Linked DNA regions of Caenorhabditis elegans. The protein of the gene in region 1 purifies or fractionates together with the protein of each later gene. This does not show direct contact. Each region holds a gene or a part of one and is shown on either strand. Other genes may lie near its edges.

Region 1 (6,917 bases):
CTATTCGAATATTTTATATAAGTTCCGTCGCTCGTAGTTCTGTAGAAATAATCAACGTAGTTTATGTTTGCTGAAAACTATGAATGAGAAAACTCCCTGTGAATCATATTGCATCTGTAACATCTTTTTTTGTTTTCCCCTGTAGCGTTTAGTTTGGGCCTTCTTAATTGTTTGTTTTTTTAATCAATTTTGTTATTTTGTTGTGTTTCTAATCATCCATCTCCCAACTCTTATCCGAATCTGATGCCATTTTTCCTTGTCATTCGCAATCAATTCGTATGCCATTTTCTTGGTCCCATCTGTAGATTTAAACTCTCCGCATTGCGTTTTACCTCCCTCTCGTTTAATGTATACAAGAAGAATCGAAGGTAACGTTTTATCTTTTTTATCACTTATAAAATTATTCATCTTAAGTACTCTTTCACATCCTCCCCAATTGCATATTTTCTCGCAGATTGCGCATTAATTTTTTTTTCGAATAAAATTTTTTCGATAGTACGACTTGTTGTCTAGTTGAATTCAAACCTGAAACTTTATTAGATATGATGATAATCTATTCCGATTTAGATCAAAACTTGTATTATTATACAAAAAAGGTTGAAAACCGTTAAATGAACCCGTTGAACGTGTTTTAAAACGAGAATATTGAGAAAAGTGACTGAAGAGGTAGGAAACAATTGAGATTTGGAAATTGAGAGAAATTTGGTGTGTTGTGGTAAAATAATGAATATTTTTAAGATTAAAAAGGCCTCCAAATAGTCGGAGAAGAACTATTCGATGAAGTTATTGATACATTTCTTCGTCTTTTTGATTCTACAGATTCCGGAGTTTCTTGAATTAAATTAATTGAAGTTTCTGATGATTTTGTGATTGAACGAGGAGAAGATGGTCGTTTTAACTTCCGATCATCAGAAGTTGGAGTTATAAAAATTGATGGAGATGATAGGCATGTAGACGTATTAAGGGATACTGCAATTAATAAATTATATATATATATTTATTTCCGAAAAAATAATCTAACCATTTTCCTGTTCAACTTTTTGTTTAATCGGAGTTTTCATCGATTCGCTGTGAATTTTCCAAAGTGCAGCTGAGATAGAAGGATGTGGTCCTGGAGAGATAAGCGGAAAAAATGATGGGCTGAAAAATATAAAAATTATTTTATGAATAATGTGAAATTCGAAAAACTTACGGGAAAGTTTGAGTCATTGGTAAAGGAAACCATGGTGGTGGAATCATTGTCATTGGCATCTGAAAATTAAATTTTTAAAAATTGTTTGCAATTTTTTCATGAATGTTCTTCTACAGTTTTTTGCAGAATTTTTCAAATTAAAAACATTTCAAAAATGAATGAATTTTTTATATTGGGGACGCAGAAAAATGTGAATTTTGAAATTGGGGGTGTGAGCGCGCTCCAACGCCAAAAGTCTCCGCCCCCAAACGCTGGGTCTCGTTAGGTATTATCGGATGAATTTTATATCGAAACTGATGCCATAAAATTCATAATCAAATAAAAACCCTTATTCACTTTTCTGTACTTTTCAAAACATTATTTCACAGTAAAAATCATTAGAGTCAATTGAGAGTAGAAACAATTTAATTCTCGAAATCAGGTGAAATCAGCAAAAGTTATTGAAAACGTTTGAATTTCTGATATTCCCGCCAATACCTAACGAGACCCAACATGAGGGGGCGGAGCGTTTTCATTTGCCTCGATTTCAGAAAAAGGAGACTACTGTACTTCTTAAAGTCACATCCTTTTTTTCTCAGGCTTTATTCAACAAATTCTGGTAATTTCGAGACCCTATACTTAAGTAATTAATACAAAATTTTGTTTGTACAAAAATCAAAAAATCGTACCGGTGGTCCAGGCGTTCGGATAATATCATTTGGGAATATTGTCTGCTGTTCTGCCTGCCGTTTCAAAGATCCTTGTGGTTTTGGTATTCTCGCATCCCTTGGTCCATCAACCGTAACCTATAATTAAATTAATAAGTTTTATCGTATTAAACTGACATCATTTCTTCCCATTCCAACATATTTGGCTTCCTTTTTTAAAAAATAAATTTGAATAAATAAACCAAAACTCAATGCAACATAAGAAGTTGCAATTGATAAGAATATTTACCGATTACTAGGCTTTCTGAAAACTAGTTTTTATTTGTAAAGAGGTGTACCAGGTGACGCATCGTGGTTAATAATCAGATAAGAGAGTACGGTAGTTGATGTGCGGTAAATCTATACATTGTTTTAGAAAACTTAAAGATGGAGTAGTTAAAGAGGGAATTTTGTATAAATTTGTACTCATAAAATAACTGATATCATAAAAACGCTTAAAATTTTTTTTGATTTCCTAACATTTTTGGGAGATTCTGAGCAATTTCTCATGTTTGCCCCAACAAAAAATTTAAAAGAATAAAGCTTTTTTTGGTCGACTTCCAAAATTTTGAGTGGCAATTACAGGGTCTCGACACGACGGAAATGTTTTAAAATGTTAGCTATAGAATGGAATACGCTCATTAAAAAGTATGTAGTTCTCACGTCACAACTTTTTTCGATTTTTCGTTGTTTTTTGTAAAATCAGATGCTCGAAGAGAAATAAGAATTAGAGTGGATGTAAAACTACAGTACCCTTGAGAGGTGCATGCTCCTTTTTATTCCAAAAAAATCAGTCGTTTCGAGACCCTTAATTTGTATTATTCATTTGCGAGTTGTAGCAGCCAAAAAATCTATTTTGCCTCAAAAATAGCACAACTTCGGTTCTGGGTAGGGAAATATTTGGTAATTTTTGAATCATAAGTTATCCAATTAATTCAAAAAAAGATTGATACTTACTCAATGTAATTATCAATTACCTATAGGCGCATTTAAAATCTACATGATATCATATAAATACATTCCCTTCTCCTTAGAATTCCACAAAACTTCCCACAATCCATTCGGATAAACTCACCTTGATCACATTTTTGACGGTGGCCACCATCATCGGCGCCGAATGTATAACGATTGTCAAATGGAATTTTCGGCCTGCAAAAGACACAAAAAACGATTGGAAAATGTGCAGTTTTATTATGAGCCGACGATGTTCTTCTCCATTCCGCCGCCGCCGCCACCTCACAAAAAGTATCCCATTAAATGCGGGCATTTGTCGCGCATTTTTATGTTACACTGATGTTCCGGATAATATAATGGCTCCGGTCAGACTACTCAGGTGGAATCATCAGTTTATTGGAAAATTTTATTATTTTAATGTGGAACACGGCCGTTAATGTATGCGCTTTTAAAATGAGAAAATGTTTAGACAGAAGTGGAAAAAATGATAAGAAAACACAAATCAATAGATTTATAAGAGGTTAAATTAATTTTTTGGTTTTTTGATACAACTAAAAGTTACATGCACCATACGTTATTATAATAAACCGTGCATTTCCATGCACTTCCCAGAGCTCAACTTTGGAATTTTACATATCGGTTATTTTATATTTATTGATAAATTTAGGAAAAATGAAGTTCAAAGCCCATAACGTTGTAATTGATAGATTGATAGAAACTAATAGGTAGAATATGAAATGTATTTATCAGGGAATTAAATTATTTAATTTACTATTAGTAATTTTAGGAAGTTTCATTTTTTTTTGTCTCCCAAGTGTCATACTTTTTCTACCCGCATTCTTACCTCTCACCACTTTTCTCTACTTACCTACCAATTGCAGTTACATATACAGTACTTCTTTGTCAGTTGACTACTTTGTACTAATACCCACAAATATGTGGTCATTACCCCTTTTTTCTACCCGCGCCAACCGGTTATTTGGCTACAGTACTCACCTCTGCCGGACCGCCCGACAAACCGCAAATCGTTAAATTTTGCCACTTGTCGATGCACTTTTGCTTTCTCATTTCGAACTTCTTCGCATGGTTTTTCGTCATTTCCAGCCCAAATTGATACTGAAAATATTATTTGAGCAGTGAAGAAATTGCTTTTTTTATTTATTTTGAAATATAAATTTCAACATAAAGCAATGCAAATATAAGGTTTGTTTTATCATTTTCAGAAATGCTCAATCACATGATTTCAACAATAATTCAAGAGAAGGCAAAATTCCAAAAAAATCATTCCAAACTTATTTCAAATCGTAGAGAGTTTTGAAAAAAGTAAAAATATAAATACGAAAGTGAATCAAAAGAAAAATCAATAATTTACCTTCTGTATTATCTGGAACAGGCGTTAGTAATACAACATAAAATGGTTCTTGAAATGATTTATTTGATCTCCAATGCTTCGGAAGAGCTGTGTATAAAATGTTTGGAGATGATGATTTCTGAAAATTTATTGTTTTGTAAAAATATCTCACAATTCTTTTACACTCTTGTTCGTCATTATATAAAATGTAATATTTTTCGATTGATAATTACAAAGTCAATTTCAATGAAACCTCTAAAACTCAACAAAATCATCGAAATGCTTGTGGTTTGAGCTGAATACTTTTATGATAAGAGAATGAAGATTACTGTATTCATTTGATTACTCAATTTCCAACCGATGCAAAATCAATATACTCTATGTCTTGCAAAAAAAAGTTCAAAAACAAAATGTAAAAATGTTGCTATAAGTTGTAGTTTGGTGTAGTGTAATTTTTATTTTTCATTTCATACCGTCTCGTAAATCTTTAAGATGATTTGATAAAATCTGCTCATAATTGACTATGGAAAATCAATACCCTAGAGTCATGAACTACCGTATACTCTCAAGAAAAGGAAGAGTTTTGAAATTTTTAAAAAAGTACATTTAAATTTGTAAAACTTTGCCGGGAAAATTAACTCAACTTTTTCTAATGTTATGAACGAAAATTAAAAAAAAACTGTAGAAATTCCGTTCACAGACTAGATAAATTGTAAGTTCTTTTACGTTCGGATTTTTGGAAATTTTAGGAACAATTGTTAAAAGTCACTGTAACAAAACCAAAATTTCCCAATTTCGAATCGAAATGCTCAATTCAAAATTATTGTGATATACAGGTACAATTTTAAAGTTAAAGTGACTAGATTATGATTTTAGGAAAAATTGAAAAAATCCAGGTTTATCAATATTTCAGGTTTTAAAAAACGATTTTTCTTCCGAAAACCGAATAAATGACTTAAGAAAGTTTAAAAATTGAAAACCTAAGACTTCGAAGTTTTTTTATAAAGAATCACAGGTGTTCAAGTGCCATACATACCTCTAATGTTTTAGCAGGTGCAGGTTGTTGCTCTATAAAATTCCGAACGTGATGGAAGACGTTGGTCATTTCTGTTAGTTTCCCAGAATACTTCCAGCACTGAAAATGAACATATTTAATTGAGTAGTGATAGAAGGTATTTGAAAATTCAAGAACAATGAAACTATTGCTTGCAATCATAATGACAAAAAAAAATTAGAGATCTGAAAGCTTCATGTACATTTTTTATGGGGGTTTCAAGGCGGAGTAGGGAAATTATTTAAAATTACTACTAGTGCTTTTTGTGACCAAATATCATAGTGCATTTTATTATTTTCAGACAAACAGTGACAAATGCTCATTATAATAATTTTGGAAGTCAACCAAAAAATGTTCTACGAGTTTTATTTTTTATAGGAATGCAATAATACTGAATTCCTCGAAAGGTCCAAATGTTTCGAGGTATTTTTCCAAAACTGTCAGAAGACTGAAAAAAAAACTGACAAATCTGAAACGTTTTAGTGTGTCTTATTTGGATACTCAGATTAAAAAAAAAACATTTCGAGTATACATATATGTTTTTTGACAAAATTTCCACTGATCCTTCTCCGCCTTAAAATTATATTTTGATCCATAAAATTCAAAGAAAAACATTTTTTTCGTCGAATAAATTTTAACATAACATTTAGTAAACAAATAAATAAAAACAAGATTGCCAGAAACGAGCCAATGATGTCTTTTGGCCGTGCAACCGCAAAAACTAGATAAATAGACGATTGTGCTCCGTTTTCAACTGATAAAGCGGAAGTGTGGTTTGGAAAGAAACGAAGTTTCAAAATGGGTGTTTATATGTTCAAAGAAGACACACCTATGAAATTGGTTAAAGAATTTGAAAATTACTAAAACGGAACGAAACGAGGGGAAAAAGATTGTTGAATTCCAGAGAAAAAAGGAAGTTATTTTATTTGCTTACACATTCTTTAAACTACCAACTTCTCAAAAATTGATAACTCTATTCAAATAAAGTTTATGAATGACTTCAAATAAGAAAATGAAGAAAATTATATATTCAACAATTTTCCAAGTAGACAAACATTTACTTATGAATCTAAAAAAGTTTAATAACCTACAAGGAAGTTGTGATAGAGTTGGAATATATTTGCATCTTATTTAATTCTTTACAATTTCAATTTTTGTTTCTTTTCAAAAGTTGCTGGATTTTGCCTTTCCTTTTCTAAATATTTTAAAATTTGTGGTAATTTAACAATTTGGCAGTTACCAAATTAGAAAATATTTTGAAATCGGAATTTCCGGAAATTACCAAACAAAACATGCCCAGGAGACAACTTAATTGTAAGAACGTACAATATTTTTTCACTAGGTAATCAAATAATTTCTCCAAAATCGTCCACCATTTCTCGTTATTTCAGATTCGAGTTTTCGCGATAAGAAACAATGAAATTACGGTATTTTTCTTATTGCTCTAACAGAAGTAATTTTGAGTAAGGGGATGGTACTAGAAATATTTTTTCTTATAAAACTTATAGGATGACTCTTTAAATATTTTATATGATAACTTTAAGAAAACTCATAGTTATTTGGATTTCCGGTTTCAAAGCTTCGTTCATAGCTGAAACTCATGTTTGACTTATTAACTGTGAGTTTGTTTTTCTGAACTAAATATTTACTTCAAACTTGTCACAAATTATTTGTTGAAAA
Region 2 (6,187 bases), on another chromosome or scaffold:
TTGTATTGCCGTTCTGCTGATCATGGTCTGAAGCAGCCAACATTGTGCGGCACCGCCTCCCTAATATGAAATTTTAGTGACACACGAAGTGCCCGCTGCTGCTTCAACACTTAAAGATATGTTCTATTGATGTGACATACGTGACCGTTGGCAGATAAGCAATAAACCAGGAAAATGTCTGAAAATTAGCTATTTCCCTTTCTTTCAACTTGTGCCACTCTCTCTCTCTCTCTCTCTCTCTCTCTCTCTCTCTCTCTCTCTCTCTCTATTTTTCTCCGATTCCATCCTCTCCTCCTCTTCCCATTCACCTGTTATGATCATTTATCGTCACTGGCGCCGAAGAGACGCAGAGTGATGGGTATGTGGAGGTAGAGAACACATATGGGCACATCCCCCTTACACAAATTAGGTGTGACGGCTTCGAATTAAATTGATCGATGAGCAGTCCGCACCGATGGGACAGTTCCCGGCATATTGAACAAAACAGTGTCTCAGGCTGGTTAAGACACAATTTTATGCTACACGGTGTTGTCACGTAGATTGCGGTTGGTAGAGTTTGCAGGGACGCAGAGAGGCTAGAGACTTTGGCTGTCTGCACTCTCTCCTCGCCTTCTCACCATGTGGCCGCGAGATATATTGATGGCCGAGTTTTCTCCATTCATAATGAAACAAGTCCCCCGGATGGCCAGAAATGGTTTTTATAACTTTGTTTGTGGGTGACCTAGTTCTCTCAATTGTTTCAGATAATTTAAACTATTTTGCAGAATGGACTGTTCACATTTCTCTATCATTTTATTTTTTGCTCGCTGAGCATTTCTGATCTTTTGATGATGTACTTTTTTACTTCCTTCGTCATTCCCACCCTGAACGATAAACTAATTTCCCTTTCGATTAATGCTTTTTCTTTTCCAAAATTGCACTTTTATCATTTTCAAAGAAGAAAAAGAGATGGCATGACAATTGTCAGATGATTCTGAGGTTCGACTTTATTAAAATTAGCAATGTTTTTTTTTTATGTTATGGAGAATTTTTTAAATAGTTCTCCACTGACTCACTGTTGAATAATTTTTACTTGTAGAATTGTTTCTGTGGGAGAAGCATTCAAAAATTAATCACATCTATTTTCAGAATTCCACTCCTTATTTTAGTTGTTTGTTGTTACATGTACTTATGTACTTAGTAATTGACACATTGCACAATTATTTAAATGCGTGGTAAAGTGCACAAAACAAAGAGTATAAGAATATAGTTTGGTTTTCATAGTTGGAATGCTGGACTGATTGCTGGAATGTTGGAATGTTTGTTGTGGTAGGTCGGTGTGTCTGCTGTAGTTAGGGAGTTTTCCCTAAATCCAAGTTTTCAAACACACTTCATCCTTTCCTTGAAAGCACAATTTAAAAAGAAATAAATCATATAATTGGAACATTTATTTTTAAATTGAGATCCCATTGCTGTTTGATTTGTCCCTTCTTTCTGATCTTCATCCTTAATCGTCTTCTTCCGTTGTCACCTCGAATCACAACTTCATTTATTCTTCATTATCTGATTATCACCAACCGTTCTAAGTAAGCACCTCCCATTTTCTCCATTCAGCTCTCCCGTATTCTCTGCTTCCCGTGACTCCGCCTCTTTTTTCAACTTTTTTGTGGGTTTGCTATCATTTTCTATCTCTCAATCTTTGTCACTTTGTTCTCGAAAAACGTCTGAATTGGTCGAATAATGTTTCATCCAGGTATGACATCTCAGCCGTCTACTTCTAACCAAATGTATTATGATCCTTTGTATGGAGCAGAGCAAATTGTACAGGTGAGCACTATATTGTAGGAGACAGTTCAAGAGAGAGCGCGAGAGAATGAGAGAATATGAACATTTTTGGGGAACACTTATCTATTATAGTAGTCTAGTAATTGCTTCTGATTCTTAAAATACAAATAAAACTGTCTTCGTGCTTTGCATTTAGAAACTGAAGTACAAAATTCAGACAATATTAATTTTAACTATTTCAGTGCAATCCAATGGATTACCACCAGGCAAATATTTTATGCGGAATGCAGTATTTCAACAACTCGCATAATCGATATCCGGTTGGTTCAGTGATATTTGAAAACTAATTCTCTCAAAAATAAAATGGACCTCATTTTACTATTTTTCTGCATATGTAACGAAAAAATCAATAAACTTATATCCCAGTGACCAAATCGATAAGCTTTTCAAAATTTATTAAATCAAAAAATTTCAGTTATTACCTCAAATGCCACCACAGTTCACAAATGATCATCCATATGATTTTCCGAACGTGCCGACAATAAGTACTCTTGACGAAGCGTCTTCTTTTAATGGATTTTTGATACCTTCTCAACCATCTTCATATAACAATAATAACATTTCTTGTGTATTTACGCCTACACCATGTACATCATCACAAGCTTCATCCCAACCTCCACCTACACCTACAGTCAATCCAACACCGATTCCACCGAATGCTGGAGCAGTTCTCACAACTGCAATGGATTCATGTCAGCAGATTTCACATGTTTTACAATGTTATCAGCAGGTAGAAGGGGTCTTTGAAAAATAGAAAAATTTTAAGTAAAAATATAATGTTTTAAAATACTTGTTTTCCTATTAAAATACATTTCAAGTTGTATGGATTTTAAGTTTTCAAAAAAAATTGCTGAGAAAGTTGCATATTCATATCTGCTTGGGATTTATGAAAATTTTCGAACCAAAAATTTAGATTAAACTGAAACTTCTCTACATTTGAAAATAACGTACTAGACTTGAAATTTTTATTTGATTTCCTCTGATGAAATCATTGAATAAAACTCTGAAAATTTCAGAGCTCCAGAATTTTTTCTTTCTTGTAAACTTTAACATAAAACTTTAGGAAAGAAAAAACTCTGGAATTTTTACAAAATAGTTCTGAAACTACTTTTCCACTTTTATTTTTCAGAACAATTTTGAAAAAGGTATTCCAAAACTTGTCAAGCAAAACAAAAGAAGTTTTAATAATTAAAAAAAACTCCAAACTACAAAACAAACATTGTGGGTACGGCAGGCGCCAAGATAGCTGTGGAATTTGAAAACTGGAGCATTGAAAGAGAATTAAACAATTTACACGTGTTTCAGGGTGGAGAGGACAGTGATTTTGTACGGAAAGCCATCGAATCTCTTGTCAAAAAATTGAAAGACAAACGAATTGAATTGGATGCATTGATTACAGCAGTTACTTCAAATGGAAAACAACCAACTGGATGTGTTACTATTCAGGTTTGAAATAATACAACCTTTTGCTTCTGTACAGTAACCTAAAATTTTTTATTTTATGCTTGGAATTTTCGAAAATTTCAAAATTCCAGATATAAATTTCAGCAGTTTATGGGTATTTCAAAGAGAAAAACATGTTGCTTGCCAACTTTCTAAAATAACCAACAAAATTTTCAAATTTTTTTTCGTGAATTTGAAGTAAAATAATAATGTCAAAGTTTTTTCCGGTTTGAACATTTTAAATGGATTTTTGTTAGTACTTCCGATTCTTCAATTTTAAATACAGTTATCATCTTTAAAAGTTTAGAGATCCTTGGATGGACGCCTTCAAGTTGCTGGACGGAAAGGTGTTCCACATGTAGTTTACGCAAGAATATGGAGATGGCCAAAAGTTAGCAAAAATGAACTTGTGGTACATGAAAATGTTTGAACTCGGAAATAAACTGAACTATTCCAGAAATTAGTTCAATGTCAAACTTCATCAGATCATCCTGATAATATTTGCATTAATCCTTATCACTACGAAAGAGTTGTCTCAAATCGGATAACAAGTGCAGATCAATCACTTCACGTGGAGAATTCACCTATGAAGAGCGAATATTTAGGAGATGCAGGAGTTATTGATAGCTGCAGTGATTGGCCGAACACACCTCCTGATAACAATTTTAATGGTAAGAGTTGAACTCCAAAACTGTAAGTAGAGGTGGCTGCTCTCTCTCTCTGACTTTTATGCCTGCCTACGTACCTTCTAATACTTATTTGTTTGATATGGATGTTTAGTGAAGATAAAGGGTAGATAGAGGCATTTCTCATCTGCCCAAGATGAGCATGAATATATTTAATACAAAATCAACACTGAGAATTTTAGAGACCGATTTTAAATGTGACCCAATTTTTTTCAGGAGGATTTGCACCAGATCAACCTCAGCTAGTCACACCGATTATTTCTGATATTCCGATAGATCTCAATCAAATATATGTTCCAACACCTCCACAATTACTTGATAATTGGTGTTCAATCATTTATTATGAACTGGATACACCCATTGGTGAAACCTTTAAGGTATGTTTTTCTATGAAATCTGATGACTATTCATTCATGGTGCAAATCGCCTAGAAATTTTTGTGAAAGAGCGTGATTCTATCAAAAATGTGCAATGGCGTTATTAAATAATTTTAATTTTCTAAATTTTAGGTCAGCGCCCGCGATCATGGAAAAGTAATAGTAGATGGTGGAATGGATCCACATGGAGAAAATGAAGGAAGGTTATGTCTTGGAGCACTTTCAAATGTTCATCGAACAGAAGCTAGTGAAAAAGCAAGGTAATTTTAATTCAGGATCATGAAGAAAAATATAACACTGTTTTGCAGAATCCATATTGGTCGTGGTGTTGAATTAACCGCTCACGCCGATGGCAACATCTCTATCACTTCAAATTGTAAAATTTTCGTCCGATCCGGGTACCTAGACTACACTCATGGATCCGAGTACAGTAGTAAAGCACATCGATTCACTCCGAATGAATCTTCATTTACAGTATGTTCCCATTCAGGGAGTTTTACAAATGATAGAATGTTACAGGTATTCGACATCAGATGGGCCTACATGCAGATGCTCCGACGTTCTCGATCAAGCAATGAAGCAGTACGAGCACAGGCGGCAGCTGTTGCTGGATATGCACCGGTTAGTAGTAATTTGCAAGCAAAAAAACGACTCGACGCACCATATGGTGCATCATATGATCAGTGTACTGATTTTCTGCACGGACCCAATGCCATAGTTCACTTAAAAATTATTAGTGAAACTGACTAAATTTGCGACCAGGGTGATGTATTATTTCTGAGAATCAAAGATTCAATTTACCCTGATGATGCTTCGGGCATCAGCTAGCTAATTGTACACTTTTAATTCACAGACTCAAAGCATCATATATCACGAACACGAACAAGCAAAGCCTGATACCCAAGTTTAAAAAATATTTAAAAATTCAGATGTCCGTGATGCCAGCGATAATGCCTGACAGTGGAGTTGACAGGATGCGTCGTGACTTCTGTACAATTGCGATTTCATTTGTAAAAGCTTGGGGTGATGTCTACCAGAGGAAAACTATTAAGGTATGTCGACTACTCTATAAGAACTAGTCACCAATGACTTTTTTCCAGGAAACCCCATGTTGGATTGAAGTAACTTTGCACCGTCCTCTACAAATACTGGACCAGCTTCTCAAAAATAGTTCTCAATTTGGAAGTTCCTAACACTTATTTTTTATTTTTCTTCAATAATGATATCTACCTGTATTTACGTACCCCAGCAGTTTCTCATATTCATGTGCGTTGTAAAATCTCCTTTTTTGAATTTTTTCACTTTGGAAATAAAGTTTTTAGCATAGTAAATACAACCACACTATGTAAAAATAGGTTGCAGGAAAAATCAAAGAAATTTTAAAAAAATGAGCGGTTGAGTTTTCTCTTTTGGTGGCCGCGTTGACGAAATGGAAGAATCAAACCATATGCACCATTGTCATCATATTTACTTACCCAGAGCCATTATGGTTGATTGAAAATTCATGGTTGAATTCTCACATATGGAATATCATTCCCACGAATTCCCACTAATTTCTTCAATGAAGTTCAAAATAAGAGTGCTCGACGGTCTCTCCCCTCTGTGCCAGTGACAAAAAAAGTGCCCCATTCCGGGAGAATTATGTCCCTTGAGAACCATTTTGCCAGGGGCCGTGAGTGTGTCGCCCCCTTTCTACTCTATCCTAGTGGCCCTTTGTCTGTGCGACACAAAATATTCCAAAAGTAACACTATCATTTTTATTGTCTTCTCCTACACTCATCCCCATTTCACTGAGCCATTCCTCTGAATGTTGCAGTTTTATGTGCAATTTTTTTCAGAAATCACAGAGTTTTTCTT

Evidence for each region.
Region 2: the proteins of rnt-1 (region 1) and sma-4 purify together in Caenorhabditis elegans (affinity purification with western blotting, with the first as the bait; one study listed by BioGRID). This does not show direct contact.

The regions. Positions count from the first base shown.
Region 1 is NC_003279.8:5,782,212-5,789,128, reverse strand, and holds rnt-1 (Runt-related transcription factor rnt-1), read right to left. Parts: upstream 5,319-6,917; 5' UTR 5,289-5,318; coding exon 5,220-5,288; intron 4,488-5,219; exon of another isoform or gene 4,467-4,487; intron 4,323-4,466; coding exon 4,205-4,322; intron 3,949-4,204; coding exon 3,829-3,948; intron 3,028-3,828; coding exon 2,954-3,027; intron 1,978-2,953; coding exon 1,861-1,977; intron 1,252-1,860; coding exon 1,193-1,251; intron 1,141-1,192; coding exon 1,022-1,140; intron 970-1,021; coding exon 740-969; 3' UTR 519-739; downstream 1-518. UniProt on the Caenorhabditis elegans protein: Transcription factor. Binds to regulatory DNA sequences in order to modulate transcription; negatively autoregulates its own expression, perhaps dependent upon CBF beta homolog bro-1.
Region 2 is NC_003281.10:5,814,543-5,820,729, forward strand, and holds sma-4 (Dwarfin sma-4), read left to right. Parts: upstream 1-1,689; 5' UTR 1,690-1,734; coding exon 1,735-1,806; intron 1,807-2,006; coding exon 2,007-2,084; intron 2,085-2,239; coding exon 2,240-2,554; intron 2,555-3,129; coding exon 3,130-3,270; intron 3,271-3,574; coding exon 3,575-3,679; intron 3,680-3,724; coding exon 3,725-3,938; intron 3,939-4,169; coding exon 4,170-4,330; intron 4,331-4,462; coding exon 4,463-4,590; intron 4,591-4,638; coding exon 4,639-4,804; intron 4,805-4,849; coding exon 4,850-4,951; intron 4,952-5,259; coding exon 5,260-5,382; intron 5,383-5,430; coding exon 5,431-5,523; 3' UTR 5,524-5,655; downstream 5,656-6,187. Other genes in the region: R12B2.7 (Ovule protein), read left to right, coding at 692-712, 765-971. UniProt on the Caenorhabditis elegans protein: Involved in TGF-beta pathway.